Linked DNA regions of Rattus norvegicus. The protein of the gene in region 2 purifies or fractionates together with the protein of the main gene of each other region. This does not show direct contact. Links are inferred from orthologs where the notes say so. Each region holds a gene or a part of one and is shown on either strand. Other genes may lie near its edges.

Evidence for each region. Proteins that work in one complex are often made in the same cells at the same time.
Region 1: the proteins of Prkag3 (region 2) and Prkaa2 purify together in Homo sapiens (affinity purification with mass spectrometry; 3 studies listed by BioGRID and IntAct, counting the BioPlex papers as one, with this or other methods). This does not show direct contact. The link is inferred for Rattus norvegicus from reciprocal best matches to the Homo sapiens genes PRKAG3 and PRKAA2.
Region 3: the proteins of Prkag3 (region 2) and Prkaa1 purify together in Homo sapiens (affinity purification with mass spectrometry; 3 studies listed by BioGRID and IntAct, counting the BioPlex papers as one, with this or other methods). This does not show direct contact. The link is inferred for Rattus norvegicus from reciprocal best matches to the Homo sapiens genes PRKAG3 and PRKAA1.
Region 4: the proteins of Prkag3 (region 2) and Pfdn1 purify together in Homo sapiens (affinity purification with mass spectrometry; 3 studies listed by BioGRID and IntAct, counting the BioPlex papers as one, with this or other methods). This does not show direct contact. The link is inferred for Rattus norvegicus from reciprocal best matches to the Homo sapiens genes PRKAG3 and PFDN1.

What each region holds. Positions count from the first base shown.
Region 1 is NC_086023.1:125,104,920-125,110,845, reverse strand, and holds the start of Prkaa2 (5'-AMP-activated protein kinase catalytic subunit alpha-2), read left to right. Parts: upstream 1-1,835; 5' UTR 1,836-2,098; intron 2,099-2,280; 5' UTR 2,281-2,528; coding exon 2,529-2,622; intron 2,623-2,698; exon of another isoform or gene 2,699-4,167; intron 4,168-5,926. UniProt on the Homo sapiens protein: Catalytic subunit of AMP-activated protein kinase (AMPK), an energy sensor protein kinase that plays a key role in regulating cellular energy metabolism.
Region 2 is NC_086027.1:83,749,764-83,755,773, reverse strand, and holds the start of Prkag3 (5'-AMP-activated protein kinase subunit gamma-3), read left to right. Parts: upstream 1-2,144; 5' UTR 2,145-2,251; coding exon 2,252-2,284; exon of another isoform or gene 2,285-2,334; intron 2,335-2,609; coding exon 2,610-2,649; intron 2,650-3,084; coding exon 3,085-3,237; intron 3,238-3,554; coding exon 3,555-3,961; intron 3,962-4,635; exon of another isoform or gene 4,636-4,886; intron 4,887-5,217; coding exon 5,218-5,299; intron 5,300-5,412; coding exon 5,413-5,471; intron 5,472-5,572; coding exon 5,573-5,618; intron 5,619-5,776; coding exon 5,777-5,843; intron 5,844-6,010. UniProt on the Homo sapiens protein: AMP/ATP-binding subunit of AMP-activated protein kinase (AMPK), an energy sensor protein kinase that plays a key role in regulating cellular energy metabolism.
Region 3 is NC_086020.1:55,965,976-55,971,865, forward strand, and holds the start of Prkaa1 (5'-AMP-activated protein kinase catalytic subunit alpha-1), read left to right. Parts: upstream 1-1,799; coding exon 1,800-1,926; intron 1,927-5,890. UniProt on the Homo sapiens protein: Catalytic subunit of AMP-activated protein kinase (AMPK), an energy sensor protein kinase that plays a key role in regulating cellular energy metabolism.
Region 4 is NC_086036.1:28,337,033-28,343,163, reverse strand, and holds the start of Pfdn1 (prefoldin subunit 1), read left to right. Parts: upstream 1-2,040; 5' UTR 2,041-2,067; coding exon 2,068-2,100; intron 2,101-5,596; coding exon 5,597-5,763; intron 5,764-6,131. UniProt on the Homo sapiens protein: Binds specifically to cytosolic chaperonin (c-CPN) and transfers target proteins to it. Binds to nascent polypeptide chain and promotes folding in an environment in which there are many competing pathways for nonnative proteins.

The DNA.
Region 1 (5,926 bases), on a different chromosome or scaffold from region 2:
TCTCAGGAGATGAAATTTTGTTATGCCCATTTCCTAGGTTCACTCTTTACGTACAAACATCGTGACTTGAGACTTCATGTTTGAGGAATGTGACTATGAAACTCTATCGGCATGCACAGTGTCACAGTTGTTTGACTAACCTTTAGTAATTTAATCACCAAACAGCAAATAATCAGTTTTCTTTGTGTTTCTAAATTACTTTTTTCATGGGAAAAATTGCAAGTGTTTATAATGTTTTGAAATGTGTTTGTCTTAGTCAGGGTCTCTATTCCTGCACAAACATCATGACCAAGAAACAAGTTGGGGGAGGAAAGGGTTTATTCAGCTTACACATTCACATTGCTGTTCATTACCAAAGGAAGTCAGGACTGGAACTCAAGCAGGTCAGGAAGCAGGAGCTGATGCAGAGGCCATGGAGGGATGTTACTTACTGGCTTGCTTCCCCTGGCTTGTTCAGCTTGCTCTCTTATAGAACCCAAGACTAGCAGTCCAGGGACAGCACCACCCACCCTGGGCTGGGTCCTCCCCCTTGATCACTAGTTGAGAAAATGCCTTACAGCTGGGTCTCATGGAGGCATTTCCTCAATGGAGGCTCCTTTTCTGTGATAACTCCAGCCTGTGTCAAGTTGACACACAATACTAGCCAGTACAGTGTTTGTATGTGTTCAGGGAACTGCTATGGAAGTAATGGAGGTATGAAGTTTCATATTCCTGTAACAGGAAGCAAATAATCTTCAGGTATGGAAGGATCGACCAACATTAAGTAAAGCAAGGAGAGAAGGGGGAGGGGGAGGCAGGGAGGAAGAGATTGCTTGATCATAAATTATTTGCCCACTGTTAATACTCTGGTCATGCTTTGGATTCTCTTTACTATTTTTTTACTTTCATCCTCAGTAATCCATTTCTTTAATTTGCACTTTTACATCATTTTTGTTTCCCACAATTCTTTGATCCCTTCTGTGTTTTGCATTTACCTGAACATGTGAATTATTTCCTATATTAGTATTTCTCCTTTGTCCAGTCACACACACACACACACACACACACACACACACACACACACACACACACACACACACACACACAAGTGCTGAAATATACTTAGGGCTCTGTTTGTGATTTATTGAGAAATTTTGTTTAAATTAGTTAGAATCGAGAGTCCTGGAGAGGGTGTCTTTTATCCCTATAACACGATTGTCTATATAACTGAATGAAGAAAAGAAATAGAAGGAGGGACATAATTGCTCCTGGCTACAGTGGATATGCTGGTTTGTCATTTGTCAAATTGACACAAGCTAGGGTTATTTGAAAGGAGGGAACCTCAATTGAGAAAATGCCTCCATAAGATGTAAGCTGTAAGACATTTTCTTAATTAGTGATCAATGGCCCATTGTAGGTAGTGCCATCTTTGGGCTGGTGGTCCTGGGTTCTGTAGAAAACCAGGCTGTACCAGCCCTGATGAGCCAGCCAGTAAGCAGCACCCTCCCGGTGCTAACCCCCCATGGCCTCTGCATCGGGACTGCCTCCAGGTTCCATGTACTGTTTGAGTTCCCATCCTGACTTCCTTCAGAGATGAACAGTGCTGTGGAAGTGTAACAATAATACCTGTCCTCCCCAACTTGTTTTTTGGCTATGGTGTTTTATCACAATGAAAAAAAACCTTAACTAACACAACGAAGAAGGCTTATTGTAGATAAACGAACGTACAGGCAGAAGCAGGGACGTTTAGGAGAGTCCAGGGTGAACATGGGCAGACTGAGCAGGGCTATGTGAGGAGAGAGGGGGAGTGGGAGCAAGAGAGGAGCCAGGCCTAGAGGGGTGGGTGGTCTGGGCTGAGAGATTAGCACAGCCAAAATGGCTGAATAATCTAGGGACCAGGGGACCTGAGGGAAGGGGCTGGAGTCCCTGGGCTGGAGAGTTCGGGGTAGGAGTCGAGGTATGGCAGGCAGGAGGACCCTATCCCAGTTAGGGACTGAGGGATGCTGAGAGAACCTGGCAGCCAGCGTCATCTTTGATATGTTAATGATAGGCGTCTCCTTGGGCAGTTTGTCCAGGGTTTCGACCTAACAATAACGTGACAAGGAACTACAAAATAAGCGTGAGTTCTAAAACAATGGGGTCGCTATCTGAGGAGGGTACGGACTAGAGCGTTCCCAGTCAAATAAACCTTGCCTGGGGGGAGCGTGCCAGGGGCTAGGGAAGGGCCGCCCTCCCCGCCTGGTCCTGCTGTCCTGAGGCACGTCTCATGGTCTGCACCCCCTCACCCCCACTTCTCTTCAGATTCTCCTTTCACCTCGGTCGCTCTCAGACTCATCCCTTCCATCTTCACCGCCGTGGGCTTTCCTCAGGACGCTTCGGGCTCTGCGCCTCCAGCTCGCGTCCACACACGCCGAGCCGCGCTCACCCTACCGCGCCCCAGGCGTCCCCGTCCCGCCCCCCGGGCCCGCTGCACTGTGGGTAGGCGGTGGCGGCGGCGGCAGCGGCGGCGGCGCTTAGAGCCCGCGGCCCGGGGAGGCCGCGCGCCGAACATGGCTGAGAAGCAGAAGCACGACGGGCGTGTGAAGATCGGACACTACGTGCTGGGGGACACCCTGGGCGTCGGCACCTTCGGCAAAGTGAAGAGTGAGTGCAGCGGCGCGGGCGCGGGGCCGGGTGGCAGGTGGAGCGCTCGCAGGCGAGCCCGGGGCACAGGCACCTGGCGCGGCAGCCGGGGCGTGGGTCAGGGGGACCCACGGTCTGAGCTGTGCCTTGGCGGGGGTGTCTGCGAGCACCCTGTCTTTTCTCTACCCGTCAGCTCACTTGTCTGCAGAATTGGGCGACTGGCCCAGTCCAAAGGGCCCCGAAGCGTGGGGAGGATGGGGTAGTCACGGCGCCGCGGATTGGGAGTGGGTCTCCCACTGGTGCCAAGCGCTCTGCCTGGAGCAGCATCTGTGGTCTCACTTAATCCTTTACGTGGCGTAGCCAGGGTGCGGTCCTCACCTTAAAGGTGAGAGAACGCGAGCTCCGAGGCTTCAGCGGCACGCCCAAGGTCACAGAGAATTGGCAGATTCAGGGTGAGGTCTAAAATGTCCTCCAATTTTGGCCTTGCCGATAAGGCCCCTGGCTTCCCCAGATTCTTCCCTGTCCCAGGCCTTTGATGGTGGAGTTGACTAGGGGCATGCCTAGAGCTGAGAGGTGGCGAGTCCCCTCTGCTGGGTGTGTGAAAACGCTGGAATGCAGCTGGTTGGGCAGAGGCTTTAGGGGAACCCCAGCTCTGCAGGTTGATTGGTGTGTGTAAATTGGTTCTAGGAAGACTTCTGGGGTCAGGGTCTGGGAAAAATGTTCCTTGGTAATGGAATTTGGGTCCCCAAGATGTCAGACTTGCTTAGGCAAGGCGTTTGTTTGATGGCAAATTGTGGGTTTTGGGGGGAAAAAAAAACAGGTTGCTTTTGAAATTTCAACTCCACTTACTAGTTAAGTATTAAACTTTGCTTTGTTTTCTTATTAGTTAATAAGAGTCACATGGGTTTGGTTTGATTACCAGCTCTTGTTAAGAAGATACTTGGTAGCGAGTTGAGAATTAAAAGTGAAACGTTAGCTTTTTTTGTTGAATAAATAGTGGGTAAGCAGTCTGGGAATTTTATGCTAAGGCATATTTTTCACATTTTAACCTCCAGTGAAGACTTGAATAGAAGGCAGGGACTCATCATTCCTGCGAGGATTAACTCCTCTCGGTCTATCTAATACCCATTTGTACAATGAGAAACACTGCTTATTGAATGCTCTTACCACATGCGAGTTACTGTTCCAGGCAACAGAGTTCTAGGAAAGCAAAACCTGAGCTTTCTTGGGACTTTTCCGAGAGGGAAATGCAATCAGAATACACGTGAAAAATGTATGCTCCCTCCTACTGAGAAAGGCAACTAGGGGAAGAAAGGATGGGGACTTTAGTTAGGCAGATTATATTAAGGTGGTCACACATGGTCTCACCAAGTGGGTATTTTTGTAAAGACCTAAAATGTTCGTAAAGTTATTTGAAGTCTTATGAAATCGGGATCTTGTAAGAACTGTGGATAGTCGTGAGATGGTCCAGAGATTTGATGGGTGATGTTGACACCATCTTTGCTGAGAACTGCTTTGCTGGATTGGCAGTACAAAGTTATGCAAACGGCTGCTTTGCCATTTAGGGTAAGTTATATAACTTAGCCGTTTATGCTTTCATGTTCTGCTAAATGCTTTTGTTTGCTTTTGAAAAAAAATTTATTGTACTCTCGGTGTAGAGTGCAATACCAACTCTGATTCCTCAAACCATTGTCACGGGATAATTTAAAACTATTTGGTTATATTCTTTGCTTCTAAACCACCAGCTTCCTAAAGTATAAATGGAACTGAAGGGACCTTTGATTTACGAGAAAAATCTTTTTCTTGGAGAACCCTGGTGGAATGAGCTGTTTGGGGGTTTTCCTGATGTTGTTTGATCTTCCCTAAAGAAACACTGTATGGTGTGATAGTTACTATTTATGTCAAATGCACACAAAGAAGACTTAGCTAGGAAGGGAATCTGAATGAAGAGTTACTTAGATCTAATTAGCTCGTGCACATGTTAAAGTGGGAAGCCCCCCCCCCCCAAAAAAAAATTCTGGGCAGCACTGTTCCCTGAGATTGGGTCCTGTACTGTGTAAGTATAGAGGGATGGCTGAGCATGAGCAAACATCCATGCATGTGTTCTCTCTCTCTCTCTCTCTCTCTCTCTCTCTCTCTCTCTCTGTCTCTGTCTCTGTCTCTGTCTCTCCCTCTGTCTCTCTCTCTGTCTCTTTCTCTCTCTGTCTCTGTCTCTCCCTCTGTCTCTTTCTCTCTCTGTCTCTGTCTCTGTCTCTCTGTCTCTCTCCCTCTCTCCCTCTGTCTCTCTCCCTCTGTCTCTCTCCCTCTTTCTCTGTCTCTCTGTCTCTGTCTCTCTCTCTGTCTCTCTCTGTCTCTCTCTGTCTCTCTCTGTCTCTCTCTCTGCTGGTGACTGAGGATGTGACTGCTTCAACTTCCTGCCTCCGTTTCCCTCAAAAGGTCTGTAGCCTGGAGATCTGAGAGAAAATAAACCCTTTCTTTCCTAAGTAACTTTTAGTCAGGGCATTTTATGACAGAAATTAAACTAGGTCGTATGGGTTTGTAATCAGTACGGCCGTAGTTGTTAAGTAGTTAAGTCAAGGGACTGGTGAAACAGAGCACACGCATTATAAGAATACGTTTTAATCTATTATTTGACAGTTTCATACAATGTGCTTTAATTAGTGCGCTCTCTCTCCCCCTCCAACTCCTTTCATGCCCTCCCACCAAATCTCCATCCCAATGTCACATATGTATATAGTGGTGCAGATATGTGCATGGGTACGGGGCCAATCCACTAGGGGTCACATCTCTGAAGAAAACTAGACCCCTTGCCCCCAACCCCATAAACAACTGTGAACTGTGTAGGTAGTTTCTCATCTGAGAGTGGGCCTTCTTGAGCTCCTCCCCTATGCAAGGCATGTGTAGTTTTAAAAATGTGTATTGAGGTATTATAAAACATATTATAGAAGTTACTGATTTTAAGTATACAGGTCAACAGTTTTTAGTACCAAGTACCAAGTTTACCAAGTACCACAGCCATCCATGTAGCTTAGCTGGAGAAAATTTATCTTATCCTTTATTTTAAATGTAGTTAATCCCATTCCCACCCACAACCCTCGGATACAGCCATTTACGCCGAATATGTATAAGGACTGTCTTTTCTGGAAAAAGATGAAGGGGTTGTGGAGCATGGTGTCTCTATGTCTAGCATTTTGTTCTTGAGTTCATATCTATCACTGATTTTTTTCCTTTTTATTGTTGCTTGAGCTGTTGTATGCTCCCCCTCCCCCCATGCTTCTTAGCTGCTGGACATTGTCTTGCTATACAGGCTATTACAAAGAGCGCC
Region 2 (6,010 bases):
CAGAGCAGGCTTAAATCTCACACCTCTGCCTTCCCTTCAATGCTCCATTCTCCATGTTCCACATAGGACCTCCTCCTCTGGAAAGTCAGCCCTGATTGCATCAAACACACAGAACTGGTGCATCGTTCACTATAGCACGTGACCTTTGTACCCTCCTCAGAACAGAGCTACCCTTCCGTGTGCAAATATCTTTCAGCTCATTTGATTTCTGGCCCCTGGGTGGCCAAACCATGTTGACTGGAAGTGACGAAAAGTTCCTTCAGGGATCGGCCAGATCCAATTAAAGTCTAAGCTGGTTGTTTGCTTGCCAAATGACCTTGGAAAGCACTGTCTGTTTTCTCTGAGTTCCTTTCCATGCCTGGGTGATGGAATGAAAACATTATGTAATGGAGATTGCCAAATGAGACTCTCTAGTTTTCTTTTCTTTTAGTGGTAGAATTAAATGAATTTGAACTGGAACGACTGCCCATCATAATGACTGAGATCACCAACTCCCTGCTCCTTTGAAGCCTCGTGGCTAAAGTTGGCAAAAGTGAGGGAGTAGCTTCCACTTTGGGTCTTAGGAGCTGCATGGATTCTTTTCTTTTTTCCTTTCCTTTCTTCCAGCTAGAATGCTAGTGCAAGGGTAGAAGCTAGAATGGTCATCTGATATTCAAGAAGAAAGTTGTTTTGGATGGTTTCACAACTACCTTACCAGTTCTTGACTGTCTATAGACTATTGTTTAAAATACCTTCCCCCTCCCTCCCCTCCTCCGTGTGTGTGTGTGTGTGTGTGTGTGTGTGTGTGTGTGTGTGAGAGAGAGAGAGAGAGAGAGAGAGAGAGAGAGAGAGAGTGATGTGGTGTGCCAGAGGCTCTGTCTTAATTTTTCTTGAGACAGAGCCTCTCACTAAACCTGAAACTAGGCTGGAGACCAGCAGGTCCCAGTGATCCTCCTGCTTCCACACCTCCACATCCAGCTTTATATGTGGGCCCTGGGGACTTGAACTCAGGTCCTCACATTTGTCCAGCAAATGCTCTCACCCACTAAGCCACCTCTCAAGCTCCTGGGCATTCTTACAGTGGGTCTTTGTTACAGCAACCAAACCTCTATCCTAACCAATTTTTGTTTGGAAGCGCTGCTACTTAAAATCTAAAACAAATACTAGTTTAGAGACTGACTAGCCGCTAGCAAGGAAAATACTGCACAGGGGCCAGCTGTGGGCCATAGTCACAAGTCATACAGGCTATGACTGTCATGCCTAGGCAATAGAACACAGCCTCATGGACACTGAGGTGGGCCCACTTGCTGTGCCTCGGGAGTTCTCCTCTCTGGCAACAGATCCAGGTCTCAAAGACACTCAGGAAAAGCAAAAGCCTCCCTCCTACACAGTTCGTCTCCACCCTCCTTAAAGGCAGTTGCAGGTGCTTGTGCTTTGAAGGAGAGAAGAAAATATGTTCAATAAATCCAGCAGGAATCCAATAGTCCGTTCCTGAGTTCCACTCAGGGGGTCTCGATGGAAGAGACTGGAATGACACGACGAAGGGAAGGCCAGGGAGAGGGAAGCCAGAGCAGCTGGGTCAGTGTTCCGCATTTGGGTTCTGACTCAGGCCCTAGGAATGCCAAAGAAAGCGGTGCGCCGCACAGGAGCCAGGCTGGGTTCCCCTCTGGCACAGAGAGATGCAGAGTCAGTACTCATGGTGGGTTAGGGTCTGGACTCCTTCATACCCATTCATCTCGCCTTGGCACAGGTCAATTCAGGTATTTCTCCCTCTGCACACAGGTATGAGCCCAAGCTCTCAGTCCCATCTCTCGCCTTTGTGATGACCAGCAGAGCGCCTACTGGTCTGATTCTCTTTCTCCATCCTTCATCTTTCACTAAAGAAGGGAATAGGTTTGTGGGACCCAAAATGGGAAGTCTCGACATACCCTGGCTCCTCTCTCGGGACCACCCACAACACCCTCACCCACCTCCATCCTTGAGTGTATCCTCCTTAATTCATCCCACCCAGGCTAGGGAAGTTTGCATGAAAGAGAAGGTAAAGGCAGTCAACTTTCCTCCTTAGAACTTTCAGTTCGAAGATGAGAGTTCCACCTCCGTAGCGCCCCCAAGCTGCAGTGCCGGAACAGCTGCCGGCTGAGCTCTCCCTCCCAAGACCTGACAATCAGAGAGAACCCGATACCCCGAGGGCCTGCCGCCAAACGACCGGCCCAGAATAGTGCCACCCCGCCGCAGCCCGTCGCGCATTTGCTAACAGACTAGAGCTGGCCACATGGAGCCCGAGCTGGAGCACACACTGCCTGGGGTACCGGGGTCCCAGGGGGCCGCGGAGAAGGACAGCAAGCGAGTGGCCGTGTGTGTGTGTGTGTGTGTGTGTGTGTGTGTGTGTGTGTGTGTGTCCCGGGTACGTGGCCCCGGGTGCTTGTTGTGCACTCTATTCTGTGGTCGGTGCTATGTATGTATGTATTTTGCGTGTATGTGCCTGTGTACGGTTCCAGGTGTGCCTGGGGCATGCAAGTTGTGCATATCTGTATACCTGTGGTGTTTGGGGTGGGTGTGCTTTTTAAAGGGGGACAACCCAGGGACTTTAGAACAGAAAGCATTTTCACTTGAGACATTCTCTCCCAAAGACCCTGACCTGGAGCCACAGTGGGGGTCCAGAGAGCCAAGGTGGGTGGAGTGCTGCTCCCTGTGGGTCTAGCCTTTTCTCTTTAGCTCCCTTGTCTCCTGCCTTTTTGAACTCCAGTTCTTAACTCCTAGCTTGGCTTTTGTCAGGAGAAATTCTTTCCCCCTCAGCCTTCTCCCTTTTTTCTCTTCTCTTTTTCCCCAGTGTGTGTCCCCCATCTCTCCTTTCCCCTTTGCTGTGTGATTTGTGATAAATTGCTTAACCTCTCATATTTTCGCCCCCCCCCATGCTAACTAGGAGGAAGGCTATTCCTATTTACAATATGTGCCTTGGAAGATTCCTATGAATAGAAAACGAAAAATATTCCGAGGGGGGTGGGTGGGAGGGGCTTTGAAAGGCCAATATCCTCACTAATGACATCAGACTTGGTTTGTTGTATCATTCCCTACTAATCAAAGACGTTCCTTTCCTCCTTCCAGAGATGGACTTCTTAGAACCAGAAGAAAACTCATGGCCATCGCCAACTGTGGCCACCAGCTCAGAGAGAACCTGTGCTATACGGGGAGTCAAAGCTTCCAGATGGACGAGACAGGAGGCCGTAGAGGAAGCAGAGCCACCAGGTTTGGGAGAAGGTGAGGCCAAGGTCGGTTATGGTGACAGGGTCAGCAGGAATTCCAGAGCGGAGCTTGACCTCAGACCTCTCCATCACATGGACTTAAACCCAGTCCCATCATGGCCTCTGTCTCCCTAAACGAGACAGCAATACCTGTGCTGGCAACCCCAAGCCCCAGGGCAGCCACCTTGGAAAGGTGGAACAGAGTTACTGTCAGCTAGGACTCTGAGACTCTACAATATCCCCGTGCCCCAATGCTGCCAAAGACTGAAAGCACAGAGAGTATTTGCTTTGGAAGATGAAGTTACTGTCCTCCCTGCTTCCTTCCCCCAACAGGTGCCCAGTCTGGACCAGCTGCTGAGTCCACCAGGCAGAAGGCCACATTCCCAAAGGCCACACCCTTGGCTCAAGCTGTTCCCTTGGCTGACGCGGAGACCTCCACCACAGGGTGGGACCTGTTCTTGCCCGACTGTGCAGCCTCAGCAGTGGGCTCCAGCACAGGTGACCTGGAGCTGACCATAGAGTTCCCAGGCCCAGAGGTCTGGGACTGTGAGCTCAAAGGCCTGGAGCAGGACAGGCCTCGGCCTTGCCCCTCCCCGCAGGCTCCACTTCTCAGCCTGAGTTGGGACGATGAGCTTCAGAAACCTGGAGCCCAGATCTATATGCACTTCATGCAAGAGCACACCTGTTATGATGCCATGGCCACCAGCTCTAAACTGGTCATCTTTGACACCACACTGGAGGTAAGACCCTAGCTTGACTCTACTTAACCACAGGGCTCAGCCTCCTGCCTCTGTAGCTACCACCCACATTCTCCTGGCTGTCTTGTCAAGCTGTAGTGTCTGAAAGCCCCTTTCTGGGACTCCTTCTTAGCGTCATACACACAGTAGGGAGAGAGCATGCTCTGTGGGGATCCCCTAATCGCCATCACAGCTCTGCTGCCTAGAACCTGCTAAACCTGGGGTTGGCCACTCTATCTCCGTCATCTCTAAAATGGGGATCAGAAGCTTGCTTCCCTTGTTTCAAAGAAGTCTTCGAACAACCCAGGGCAAAGTAAGAATACCCTGTAAGACATTGCAGAGCTACTCGGGACCGAGAGGAGGGTACCAGCTGCGATAACCACTCTTCCGTTAGGCTAGACTGACTCTGTCCTTAGCACTGTTACTGCATGATGTTCGAGGCAAGATGCATACATGCTCGAGGCCTAGTACATGTGTCATCCACAGAACAATCTGGCTCTGGCGTTTTACAAAGAAATATACTATCACAAAAGCTTTGCTTAAGTCTTGATGTGTGTCAAAGAGTTGGCTGCAGTGGAACGCATGTGTAATGCCAGCACTGAGGGGGCTGGGGCAGGGAGGTCTCAAGTTCCAGGTCGGCCTCTAAACCAAGGAACAACAACAACAACACACGCGCGCGCGCGCGCGCGCGCGCACACACACACACTCACACACACACACACACACACACACACACACACACACACACACACACCACCACCACCATCACCACCACCACCACCACCATCACCACCACCACCACCACCAGAAACATAGAAAGGACAGGAGAGAAGAGAAAAGAGTTAAGAAAAGGGAAGAAGAGATGGGAAGGAAGGAAAGATGAAAGCCAAGCAGAGCCAGCACATATGGAGGATACCAGTCAAAACAAGTTAGTCTCAAATTTAGTGGGGAAACTGAGGCAGCTGTGCAACGGGTGACTAAGTATTACCTCTAGTCGTTAAATAAGTAAAACAGCATCATGTCTGTATGCACATGGCCTCCTTGTGGAGGAAACACTGCTGTGTCTAATTATGATCCCTCAGTCCCTCTGGGCACAAGTGGCCATATTTGTGTGGCAAATGTGCCCTTGCCATTGGAAAGAGGCAGACTCATATGGAGAAGAAAGACACCATGGGAGGAGACTGGTGGGGACAACAAGAGGGGAGGATGGACTGCTGTCAGTCCTTACTCCTCCCCGTTTGTTCTTTCCTGCCCCTCAGATAAAGAAAGCTTTCTTTGCCATGGTGGCCAACGGTGTGAGGGCAGCCCCTCTGTGGGACAGCAAGAAGCAGAGCTTTGTGGGTGAGGAAAGGCGGTTGGACCTCATGTGGTACAAGAATGTTGGCATTGGGTCCTCACTGAGCCTTGCACTGAGGCCTAACTTCTTCCACGTTTGTCACCTGCCAACCCTGCAGGCATGCTCACCATCACGGACTTCATCCTGGTGCTGCACCGTTACTACAGATCTCCCCTGGTGAGTTCTGGGGTGACTGGTGGGCTGGGATAGGGACATCTTCAGGAGGCCTGATGTTCCAGGGCTCAAGTCTGACCCCAAAGTCCCACCAATGTCTTTAGGTCCAGATCTATGAGATTGAAGAACACAAGATTGAGACCTGGAGGGGTAAGTCGGAGAAGACTGCAGGGGTTCAAGTTGGAGCCCAAGGCCTGAGACAGAAGGTGGGAGGGTATAAGGCAATGGGGAAGCCTTAAGTGCCTGCAGGGAGGTAAGCAGTCAGGAGACAGAGCAAGGCCACTGGGAACTACTGTGGCCTGACTCAGGTTTTTCTGCAGAGATCTACCTACAAGGTTGCTTCAAGCCTCTGGTCTCCATCTCTCCAAATGACAGGTAAACATCCTCTCTGCTCACTTGAGCCTGCGCTCTCTCTCTCTCTCTCTCTCTCTCTCTCTCTCTCTCTCTCTCTCTTAAAGACTTTTGTTCTGATATTTGTTGCTTGGTGTGTGTGTGTGTGTGTGTGTGTGTGTGTGTGTGTGTGTGTGTGTGGTGTATCACAG
Region 3 (5,890 bases), on a different chromosome or scaffold from region 2:
CTCTATGCTGTGTTCCTGTAACTACTGAGCCACTTATCCTGCCTTAGTTTGTGTTCGTTTTGGGAATCTCATGTAGTTCAAATCAGCCTCAATGTCCCTAGGTAGCAGGGGATGACCTTGAACATTTGATCTCACTGGTGATAATCTCCAGTGCTGGAATTGCAGGCATGAGCTATCATGCTCACTTTTCATGCTACTGGGGATCAAACCCAGGGTTTAGCCCATGCCAGGCCAGCACCCTACCAAAAGCTACAGCCTGAGACCACTTATTTCTTGTAGATTAAAATAAACAGTAGAACCTTCCTGGGTTAAATCTTATCCAGGATGCAAATGTGAAGTAATTTAAAATGTCAGTTCATGGGGTGGGAGAATTTAAAGGGTTTCCCCCTCCTTAAGAGAATCCAGAGCTATTTCTGCCTAATAGTAATACGTGTAAAATAGGGAATTGATTAGCCACGACTGTTCTCAGTTACTGGTTTCTACTTAGAAGAAGTTGTTTCTCAGCCCGTGGCTCGCGACCCCCTACTGTATCAATCCCCTTAGATCATCAGAAAACACAGATGTTTACATTGTGATTACTAAAAGTAGCAAAAATTGTTATGAAGTAGCGTTGAAAATAATTTTATGGTGGGAGAGGGGTCACCACCACCGCATTAAAGGGTCATAGCATTAAGAAGGTTGAGAACCACTCACTGCTCTAAGCTTAAAGTGGATTTCTTTCCCCTGAAGAGGTTTCCTTGGAACAAAGTGCTTAATATTACATTGCTTTAATGTCATAAGCCAGAAGATGGGAAAACTGGGAGTTTTTGCATCCCAAAGAAAAATGACATTTCTAGGCTCTTAAAAAAAGTACACCGTCATGGAGACTGACCTTTCTCTCCATTGGCAACGACAGAAATTCAAACTAAAAAATCGAAGGGTGGCATCTGTTTATATACGTTTATGATAATACCCTTATTTTGCCTATCGTTAGAACCGAGTAACAGATTCACTTCAAAATCCTATTTCAAATAAACATACTTTTTGGTGAAATGCTATGGCCCCATTTATAAAAACAACATACTCTCTTTTTTTAGTGCACTGAAAATATACATTTTATTGAAAATGTAACAATATTAATTTCGATACACCATAATTTCGGGATAACACGTCTCTTTCCGGAGTACACATAACTCACACACATTCCATCGGGGAAATTTGAGGGTAGTAAATTTCCTAGGAAGACCCTCTAGGCTGCTTGAGCTGTGCGGTGTCCAATAGTAATTTACTGGCTCAGAGTTTTCTTTTTTTAAACAGTGGGAAGTATTAAAAGTGCAAGTGGAAACATCCTTGGCTTCCAGATGACAGGGAGATGAAAATCAAGATTAGAAGACAGTGGTAGGGCGGTGTCCCCTGTCTTGTTTCACAGCACGCCGCACTATCCCCGGGCAAGAGTACGCATGGTCCTCCTGGGAACTACAGAGGGGCTGTATCTTCTTCACCCGCAGACCCTCGAGTGAACTAGGGGAGACGGCGGCCCGCTCCGCTGCAGGGGAGGCCCTCCCGCGCGCAGGTGGGCAGGCGCGCGCAGAGGGATGCGGGGCGCCGAGGCGAGTACCGGCGCCGCTCCCGCCGCCCCGCCGCCTAGCCCGCCAGGGGGAGCGAGTGCGCTCGGCGGCCGGCTGCGGGGACTGCGGGGCCTGCGCGGGCGGCGGCCGGCGACTGCGCCCCACCGCGGCGCACCCGCGTCCCCACCCCCTCGGCGCCCGCCCGCCCCCGGCACGGCCCTGCCCGCCCCCTCCGCCCCCTCCCGCGGCGCCATGCGCAGACTCAGTTCCTGGAGAAAGATGGCGACGGCCGAGAAGCAGAAGCACGACGGGCGGGTGAAGATCGGCCACTACATCCTGGGGGACACGCTGGGCGTCGGCACCTTCGGGAAAGTGAAGGGTGAGGACGCCCGGGCCAGCGCGGACCCCGCGAACGGCGGGCGACCGCGCCTTTTCGCACTCCGCATCCTTCCCCGCGCCCGCCTTCCGGGTGTCTGGGCTCCGTATTCCCGATCCCGGCGGCGCTGGGAGCGGAGCCCGAGGCCACCGCGGGCTGCAGAGCTATGGGGTCCGTCGCGGTGGGGTGGGGGCGGTCGCCATGGCGACGGCGCGGCGCCCGAGGGGCGGGGATGGCTCTGGGTGCAACTTTCCCAGGCGAGGGAGTTGGACACTGCGCGCGCGGGGGAGCCCGGCGCGGACGAGAGGGTCTCTTCTTCGGATCCCCTGTGCGCCCTCGGCGCAGAGCCAGCCCATCGCGCCCTGGCGGTCCTTGGAGTTGTCGCTGCCTTGCTTTTAGGAGGTTGTCGACTTATGTGCTTCTTCATTTTCCTGAATCGAAATGTGTTCTTCCAAAAGTAAGGTAGCTGTGAAGATATCTTTCAGAAATAATAATGCCCTTGTAAGGACTATTGATCTCCATCAGGACTTTTGATGGCTATGCATGCGAACTGGCGCTGTGTTTCCTATGCGTGGTTTACAGTTGGATGCAGACTCTGCTTTAAGTGTTTTCGTTTTCAGAAGTTTTGCGGTTTCTGAGAGCCGTACCTGGTAGGTAGGGCTTATGTTAGCCCAGATGGTATTTATTAGCTTATAGGTACAGTTTCCATTCATTCTCAAATATATTTATATTTTAGTAATTCAGAGCCCATGTTTTGAACTTTTTGTTTGTTTTGGTAGAATCCCCTGCCTTAGCAAAAGCACAAGTATTGTCTTCAAACTTGTAGTCTAGCCCACCGTCTGTGACAAGGTCATTTCTGATTACAACCTTTGTGAGTGGACTTTTTTTTCCCCTTTAAAATATTTAAGCCTGCTATTAAGTATTTAGAGGACGGAAGTTTGGAGCTGATAAGAAATAATTCATGCATTGGTTTTGGAGAAATAATAGACTAAGACCTGCACATACTGAGCTCTTAGTAGATATTTGATTGAAATGAAGTTTGTCAAATTACACAGCAAGCTAACTGAGCTTCGTTCTCCCAGGAGGAGCAGAAGACCCCTTCCTTCTCTTTCCCAGTCCTAGAACTGAAAGATGCTGTGTAACTCTTAGCAGAGCAAATGCATAAATCTTCCTAAGGAAAATCAGTAAGCTAGACAGTGTGAATGAGGAGGGGGAGTACAGTCTAGGGCAGGAGCACTGATCACGGTAAGCCAGTGAAATGTTTGTGAACACTTTGAAGTTTCAGCTTTGTCTCTTTTTATGTATGTATGTATGTATGCATGCATGCATACGTGCATTCGAGAGACTGTTACAATGCTGTCCAGGCTGGCTTTGAACTTGTCATTCTTCCTGCCTCAGCTTCTCTTCCAGTGTTTTGTTTAGCTTTAACTAGGCATGTTCCTTGTTTGCCATCATAGTGCTTTTTAGTTGACACGTGCTGGTAAGAAAAGCTTATTAAGGCTCTGATTGAAATGATAAGGCAGGCTTGGACTCAGAAGGCTCCTTCCGAAGGTCCTGCTTGGAATGTGGCGTCCGGTCTGCCATTTCTTTGACATGGACGAGAGTGGATCAAGCAGAAAGGAAAGGAAGAAGAGATTGTTTTCAGTTCTGGGCCTTGACCTGTGAAGTAGCAGTGACTCGAATCTCCCTCCCAGTGACTCTGCTTTTCCCTAACCTTCACTGCTCCACCCACCCACACAGTCTTCTCTTGAAATACTATACTGTCAGTCATAAACCTCCTCAAACACAGAGGGCCAGTGTGAGTCAGAGGTTATATTCATGGTTATAATTAAACTTGTCCTTGAACCTGTTAGTTGATGTGGGTCTAAATATTCAGTCATTTCATTTAAAACTGTTAAACGGGATGCTTTTTTTTTTGACATTAGTAATAGAAACCATGATTTTTGCTATGATCCTCTCTTTACTAAGGAATGGCTGGACTGCCATATGTCATTTTATTGCATCAGAAAGGGGTTAGCATGACTGCCTTAGTTAGGGTTTTACTGCTCTGAAGAGACACCATGACCAAGGCAACTCTTATAAGGACAACATTTAATTGGGGCTGGCTTACCGGTTCAGAGGTTCAGTCCCTTTTCATTAAGGTGGGAACATGGCGGCAGGCAATGTGCAGGAGGAGCTGAGGGTTCTACATCTTCATCTGAAGGCTGCTAGCAGAATACTGGCTTCCAGGTAGTTAGGATAAGGGTCCTAAAGCCCACACCCACAGTGACACACCTACTCCAACAGGGCCACATTTTCTATTAGTGCCACTCCCTGGGCCAAGCATATACAAACCATCTTAATGACCATAGGATGACCCAGGTTTGGATGTGTATGTGTGTTGGGGAGGGAGGGGCATTTTCCTTTTTTTAGTCTCTGGCTACAGTGCACAGTTATGTGTGTGCTTGCTCTTCCTATTGCGACACTATGAAGAAGGAGGACTATTAGGTAGGAGAGGAAGCAGAAGGCAGGAAAGTGCAGAAAGGGGGTAAAAATAACCACAGTGTCTGGTCATATTGGAAATTTTTTAAAATTAGTTTTATTTTATGTGCATTGGTATTTGCCAGCATGTGTGTCTGTGTGAAGGTGTCAGATCCCCTGGAACTAGAGTCACAGACAGTTGTGAGCTGCCATTTGGGTGCTGGGAGTTGAACTCAGGACCTCTGGAAGAACAGCCAGTGCTCTTAACCACGGAGCCACCTCTCCAACCTCCCCCATCTCTAAGAATTTTTAGAGATAATTGCATCAGTCATAAATTCTATGTATGTATGTATGTATGTATGTATGTATGTATGTATGTAGGATCGATCTATCTTTTTTTTTTTTTTCTTTCTTTTTTTTTTTTTTTTTGAGACAGAGTTTTTTCTTGGTAGTCCTGCTCCTGGAACTCACTCTGTAGACCAGGCTACACTTACACTCAAAGATCTATCTGCCTCTGCCTGGCTCGAAAGGTGTGTGCCACCACTACCCTAGCCTTAAATTCTAATTGAGAAAATGTACTTATTTTTTGAAAATTTTATTGAAAAAATATTTTTCAATTATTATATATGTTGGTAAATTTAACATAAGAGAATTTAACAGAAATGTGATACTTATAGATGGATAAATCACCCATATGATATTTAGTGCTTCCGGGGGATATACGTGTGTTTGGTTTTCTTTTTTTTTTTTTTTTTATTTCTTTTTATTTTTTTAAGATAGTGTCTCATTTAGCCAGATTGTTCTCAAACTTGCTGTGTAACTGAGAACAGCTTTGGGCTTCGGATCCTTCTGTTTCTACCACCCTGGTGCTGGGACTACCAGCCTACGTGCTAACATGCCTGGTTTTATATAGCGTTAAGGATTGAACCCAGGGCTTCATTCTGCTAAGCCAAATGCTCTACCAACTGAGCCACATCCCCAGTCTTAGAAATTTAATTTTGGGGCTAAGTTGATAGTGGTTGTCTTGTTATGAAATAAACAGTAATGAAAATAATTGGGTTACTTAATGATAGCATTTGGAGGGGAAAGTTTAAGCAGAAAACTAAGGGTTGGGATAATGCTTGAATTATTTCTGAGGTATCCTTTTCTGTGTTTATTAAGGTGTTAGTCTCTCCCCCTTGTTGTCTCCCATCCCCCATAAACAGTTACAGAAGCATGGACTAAGAGAGTCCTGCTTCCGTGCGAATAGTACAGTGAAATTGTGACTTCATGAAGCAAATGAGTCACTTCTACATATAACATGTTAGTTGGTGAGCATTTCTACTTTAAGCCATTATTTCAGGCAAATAGATAATTTTCTCTCCCTCTGGAAGAGTATCTAGTGCTCCTAATCACTGAGCCATCCCTCCAGCTTGTCATAGTCGTTTTTAAGTACCTAAATTTTATGAAAAGTATGAGGTATTACGGTAGTTTTATAGATTTATGCATACATAATAGAAATATGTTA
Region 4 (6,131 bases), on a different chromosome or scaffold from region 2:
CAACATCAAGTAGCATGGGAAAGAGCTGATAAATTTGAAAATGATCAACTGGAAAGTTTTTATTTCTGGATTTTTGAGGCAGAATTTAACTTTGTAGCCTTTAATTTAAATTAGCTGGCCTAAGTAGAATTTTCTAAACTGTAGTCTAAACAGAGCACGGTGATGCATAGCTAGAACGACAGTGTTTCGGAGGCTGAAGCAGGCAGATGAGGAGCTTAAGGCTAGCATGGGCTACAGAGTGAAATCCTGTCTCAGTGGAGAAGAAAAGCACTGAATGAAACATTAGAGTTTATAGTCATTGAAGTAAAAATTCAATTGAAGAGTGAAATGACAAACGAGACACAGTTGAAGGGACAACGCTCACATTAGTGAAGCGTAGCTCACCGAGATAGGAAGGTATGAAGCATAAAGCAGAGGTTGAGAGACATGGATGCTTCCACACACTTCTAGTCAGACACTGGCTGCACATTCTCCAAATTACACACGCCCTTAGATGAGAGAAGTATGTTGTGTGCCAAGCAGGAATGAGAGAATGACAGTGCCCAAGCCAAAGTGGATCTCTGTGTAAGATCGCAGTCTGTATCCTGCCCCTGTCTCTTAGCGTGGTGCCCCTGTATAAGCAGCCTACACTGGTCTGGGATCACTACCAGACTGCCCTTAAATTCATGGCGAGCTTTCTGCCTCAGTTTCTCCAGTCCTAGGATCACGGGGAGGACCGCAATGTTTGACCCTCATCTATTATTTTTGAGTTTTTGGGTTTTTGTTTTTTTTGAGACAAGTCTTATGCAGTCCAAGATGAACCCCAGCTCTCTATGTCATTGAGGATAACTTGAACTTTTTTAAAGTACAAAAAGATTTATTCTTATTATCTTTAATTTTGTCTACACATGTGCATGCGTGTGAGAGCATGTAAGCACAGGTGCCTGCAGAGGCTAGGGTGTGCATTCTCTGGGGACTGGAGATTACAGGTCATTGTGAGCCATCTAACGTGTGCTGAGAGTCAAGCTCTGATTCGCTGGAATAAGAGTATAAGCTCTTTTTTTTTTTTTTAAAGATTTATTTTATTTATATGAGTACACTGTAGCTGTCTTCAGACACACCAGAAGAGGGCATCGGATCCCATTACAGATGGTTGTGAGCCACCATGTGGTTGCTGGGAATTGAACTCAGGACCTCTGGAAGAGCAGTCAGTGCTCTTAACCACTGAGCCATCTCTCCAGCCCCAAGGGTATAAGCTCTTTAACTGCTGACCCATCTCTCCAGTTCCTAGTTTTAAATTTGAATCTATTCAGTGTATGTGTGCGTTCATAAGCATGTGTGGAGGTACACACATGGAAGGGAGTCAGAGGATAATTTGTGGGAATCAGTTCTCTGCACCATGTGGGTTCTCAGGATTGAACTCATTTATTTCGTTATGGTGGCAAGCACCTTTATTCCCCAGGCTGACCTGACCTTGAACGTATGATCCTCCTGCCTCAACCTACCTAGCACTTGGATCACAGGAATGCATCATCATACTCGTTTTGTACGGGGCAATTCAGAGTATCAAATGTGCTAGGCAAGCATTTAGCCAACTGAACTACACCCCAGTCAGGAATCTGATCCCAACAAACAGAATTGTCTCAAGAAGCACTGTGTCTAGAAGATATATGAGGAAGCTTCGGCAGAATTAGGTTCTTTTTAGATGAACCATATTGCTAATGGTCTTACTGGCATGCCCGAAGCTGGACTGACAGCACAGGAACTGAATGAATGATTGATGAGCTGACCGACAAACCTGTTTCAATTCCGCAGCCCAAGTGAAGATGTTTTTCTAATTGTATGTGGAGGAGCAAGTTACATCTCGGCAGTTACACGTTTATCAAATATAATCAGAATTTCAATGTTCAGGGTCATTTGTCTCGTGGCAGAGTGGTAGAGTCGGGTAGATTACAAGCTGAGAAATCTGGGTTAGTTGAGTTCACCTTTGCGCAGGCGCAGAAGGAAGCCTACCAATAAAACCTGCAAGCGCCCTTCCCCCACCCCTTTCCGGCTTGCCTCTAGCGCAGGCGCATAGTGTCCTTCAATATGGCCGCCTCCGTGGATCTGGAGTTGAAGAAGGTAAGGGGGGATTTTCAGCAGACAGACACTTCTGTTTGAATGATAAAGCGAGTAGGGACGAAAATGGGGGCGTGAGGGGGGAGGGGGAAAGCTCGCGTTTCGCTGGAGGAAGGAGACTGTAGGGGGCGGGGTCTGGCCTCCCGAAGCCTTGAGACCGGACCCGCTCTGCTTCAGGTGGAGGCTCTTGCTCGCAGGAGCTGTTTCTGGTGGGTTTAGGTTGCTGGGTCGCACGCGGGCTGGGCTGCAGTGTGTTCTTATGTTGGAACTTCAGAGACATCTCTCTGTGTTTTGGAGCCGTCGGGTACCAATTTCATAGCAAGGACTGAAGACAGTGTCTCACAGTGATGATGCCTGTCAGGATGCTTGCAGGAGAACTTGCAGTTTGGTTTCCTCATTTGATTTGAAAAACTCCAGGTTCAATCTTTGCTTTTAGGTCATTTATTCTACACTATACCTTGAAAGGTCTTTCTGTATTTACACCTCAAATAAGCAGACACTGCTTGACTCCTGTCAAGGCTCTAATCCTCCCTTCCCCATCACCTTTGTAAAGAGCTCATACACTACCCCTCCTCCCCAAGTAAGTTTTCCAAAAGACCTTTCAGAGGAATTGGATTGTTGTTGTTGTTATTATTATTTTGTTCAATCCGTTGCTTAGAAATGATTTTGTTATTTTGCTTTTTTTTTTTTAAGAGACAATGTCTCAGGGTGTTCTAGATTGACGTGGGACTTATTGCCCTTGAATTCCAGGCAGTCTTTCTGCCTCAGCCTCTTGAGTTCTGGGAATTAGTCTTGAGTCAAATGCCTGTTTATAAATGGGTTGTTAATTGGAAACATTTTTGCTACTTAACAGTCTTGGGACTGATCCTGGCTGTGCTATCTTTGTGGAGAGTTAGCTGTAATTAGAAAGGACCCTAGAACTCATTCTGTTTAAATGTACTTTTCTAGAAAGGTAAACTTCTAGTGTTTTTTTTTTTTTTTTTTTCTTTCTGGTTAGCTTGGTTTAGTTTGGTCAGGCCCTGAACCCCTAATGTACTTTAGTGCTGTTGCCTTCAGAGTATTAGGGTAACAGATATGTGCTAGGGTCCCTGGCAAGAAAAGTCTTAAAAGATTGAGCCCCAGGCAGCAAGATGGGTCAGTGGTGAAAATACTTGCCAGGCGCCTGGCTGTTTAAGTTCTATCCCTGGAACCAACGGTAGAAGGAGAGAACTACACAAAGTTGTTCTCTAATCTTAGAGGCACACACTAGTACACTGCTCGGTGCTCACACAAACAATAGTAAACACATTTTTGTTTTTTCTTTTCTTTTTTTTTTTTTTTTTTTCGGAGCTGGGGACCGAACCCAGGGCCTTGCGCTTTCTAGGCAAGCGCTCTACCACTGAGCTAAATCCCCAACCCCAGTAAACACATTTTTAAAACGGAGTCTAGCATTTGGAATTACTGTAATCCTTTTTTTTTTTTTTTTGTTCAGTAGGTTTTTTTTAGGTGAGAAACATTTTTAAAAGTTGTGTGTGTGTACATTTTGCAAGGTGCTTAGTGGAAGTCAGAGAACAATTTTTGGGAGTTAGTTCTCTCTTATGAGGTGGGTCCTGGGGATTGAACTCTTGGTATCAGGCCTTCTAGGCAAGCTGAGCCATCTACTGGCCCAGATTTGGATTCTGGTTTTGTTTTTCCCAAGAGACAGAGTCTCATGTCGCCTAGGTTGGCCTGGAACTTGGCTATGTAGTTGGCATGCACCCCTACACCCAGTTTCCCTAGTGCTAGGATTTGCACTCAGGGCTTCCTGCATTCGACAAGACCTCTCACTGGGACCTAGGGATTGCCACTTTGGCGAGATTGTCTTGTGAGCTGCTGGGACCTTTATTTCCCCCTTGCCCTTCATGCCTAGCATTAAACAACAACAAGTTGTATTTTTATGTATGTGTCTTGCCTGCATGAATGCCTGTATACCATATGTGTGCATCCCTCTCAGGCTAGAAGAGGGCTTTGCATCCCCCTGAAACTGTAGTTAACATGTGGTTGTGGGTTGCTATGTGGGTACTGGGAACCAAACCTGGTCCTCTGCAAAAGCAGCCAGTGCTTTTAACCCCTGAGCCATCCCATCAGCTCCCAAGCTCAGCCACCTTGTGGGTCCTGGGGAGTGAACCCTGGGTCAGCTGACTGCACTGTTTCCCTAGCTCCCATAAGTAACATCATAAGTAGCTGTCTCTGGTTAACCTGTGCCTAAGTAATACGACAGCTGAAACAGCTGTTCCTAATAAAAGAAGCCACTTGCTATTGTTCTGGGGATGCTAAATATGTGCATCTTTCTGCCATTCTTGTCTTGAAACATGTAAACTTAGCCTTAGATAGCATTCTCTCATGCTATAAATCTCAGCCTTGTAAGCTTTTCTTTCTTTTTCTCTTTTTCTTTTTGAGACATGGTCTCACCATGCATCCTGGACTAGCTTGGAACTCACTATATAGGTAGACTAGGCTAGCCTAGAAATCACAAGAGATCCTCCTGGGTTCTAGGATTAATGCATTTCTGTGCCTGACATGTAAATCTCAGCTATGTATCTATATCTTTATATAAAGCGTTTTCTCCTTTTATCATGTAGGTTCAGGTCCCAGGGATGGAACTCAGGTTGTTAGGCATGGTAAGAAGTACCTTTACCTGCTGAGCCATCTGTGAACCATTGTCTGTCTGTCTGCCCACCCATCTATTTATCTATTTATAGATAGATTAAAAATTAATTTTAAAATGTAGTTTGTGCATTTGAAAGTGTGCTCAAGTGTTCTCTTACCAAGTAGTTCCCAGGGTCAAACTTAGGTCATTAGGCTTGGTGGACAGTGCTGTTATCTGCTGAGTCAATCTCAATCCCCTAAAAAAAATTTCTTTTGTGAGACTAGGTGTCTTGTAGCCCAGCCTGGCTTCAAATATCTTATGAGTCGGAATTCCAAACAGCTCCTGAACCCCTTGCTTCTGCCTCGCAGTTGTTAGGATTATAGGTGGGAGACACCAGGTCTGGCTCTCCAGCCAGGATTTTGATATAATGTGAGGTGTTTTGGATTCTAGTTACATAATACAGATGTAGTAAGTTGTTTCTTGCATTGAATCTCTTGGGTTTATCTCCTGAGTATTTTATTTATCTCTTTTATTACTCTGTGGTTAGTTGATGTATAGCTATTTTTTTAATGCACATTTATTTTGCTTATTCATATTGATCACATCCTCTATGAATAGAGTCAATGAATAGTGTACTTTTAGAATTTACAATTCTGTTGACTCTCATTATCTTGGTAAATTTTACAGCCTTGTCTGGTTAGCATGTTCTGTTTTAACAAATCTAAATTTGACTTAAGTTTTTTTTTTTTTTTTTTTTTTGGTTCTTTTTTTCGGAGCTGGGGATCAAACCCAGGGCCTTGCGCTTCATAGGCAAGCGCTCTACCACTGAGCTAAATCCCCAACCCCTTGACTTAAGTTTAGCCTACTAAATCAAGCACTTGTTTTTCTTAGGCCTTCACAGAGCTTCAAGCCAAAGTTATTGATACTCAACAGAAGGTGAAGCTTGCAGACATACAGATTGAACAGCTAAACAGGACAAAAAAGCACGCACACCTTACGGACACGGAGATCATGACACTGGTGGATGAGACTAACATGTATGAAGGTGTAGGAAGAATGTAAGTAAATTATATCCTTCATGGGGTTTTCTTGTGAGAATTTTTGGATGAATTAAATGGTAGAATTGTTTAAAATGACTTGGGTTAAAATATAGAAATAACTTGCAAAAGCTTTCTTTTAAAAAAGGAGTAAAACCCCAGGTTGTATGTGTTCTCGTTCTCTCTCTCTCTCTCTCTCTCTCTCTCTCTCTCTCTCTCTCTCTCTCTCTCTCTCGGCATGGGTATGTGTGGGTGTGCCTGTCCCCCTCTCCCACCCACCTTGTCCATGAAAGTGTCGGATCTCTTGGAACCGGATGTAGGTGGTTGAGAGCTTCCTGATGTGGGTGCTGGGAACTGAACTTGGGTTCTCTGTAAGAGCAGCTAGAACT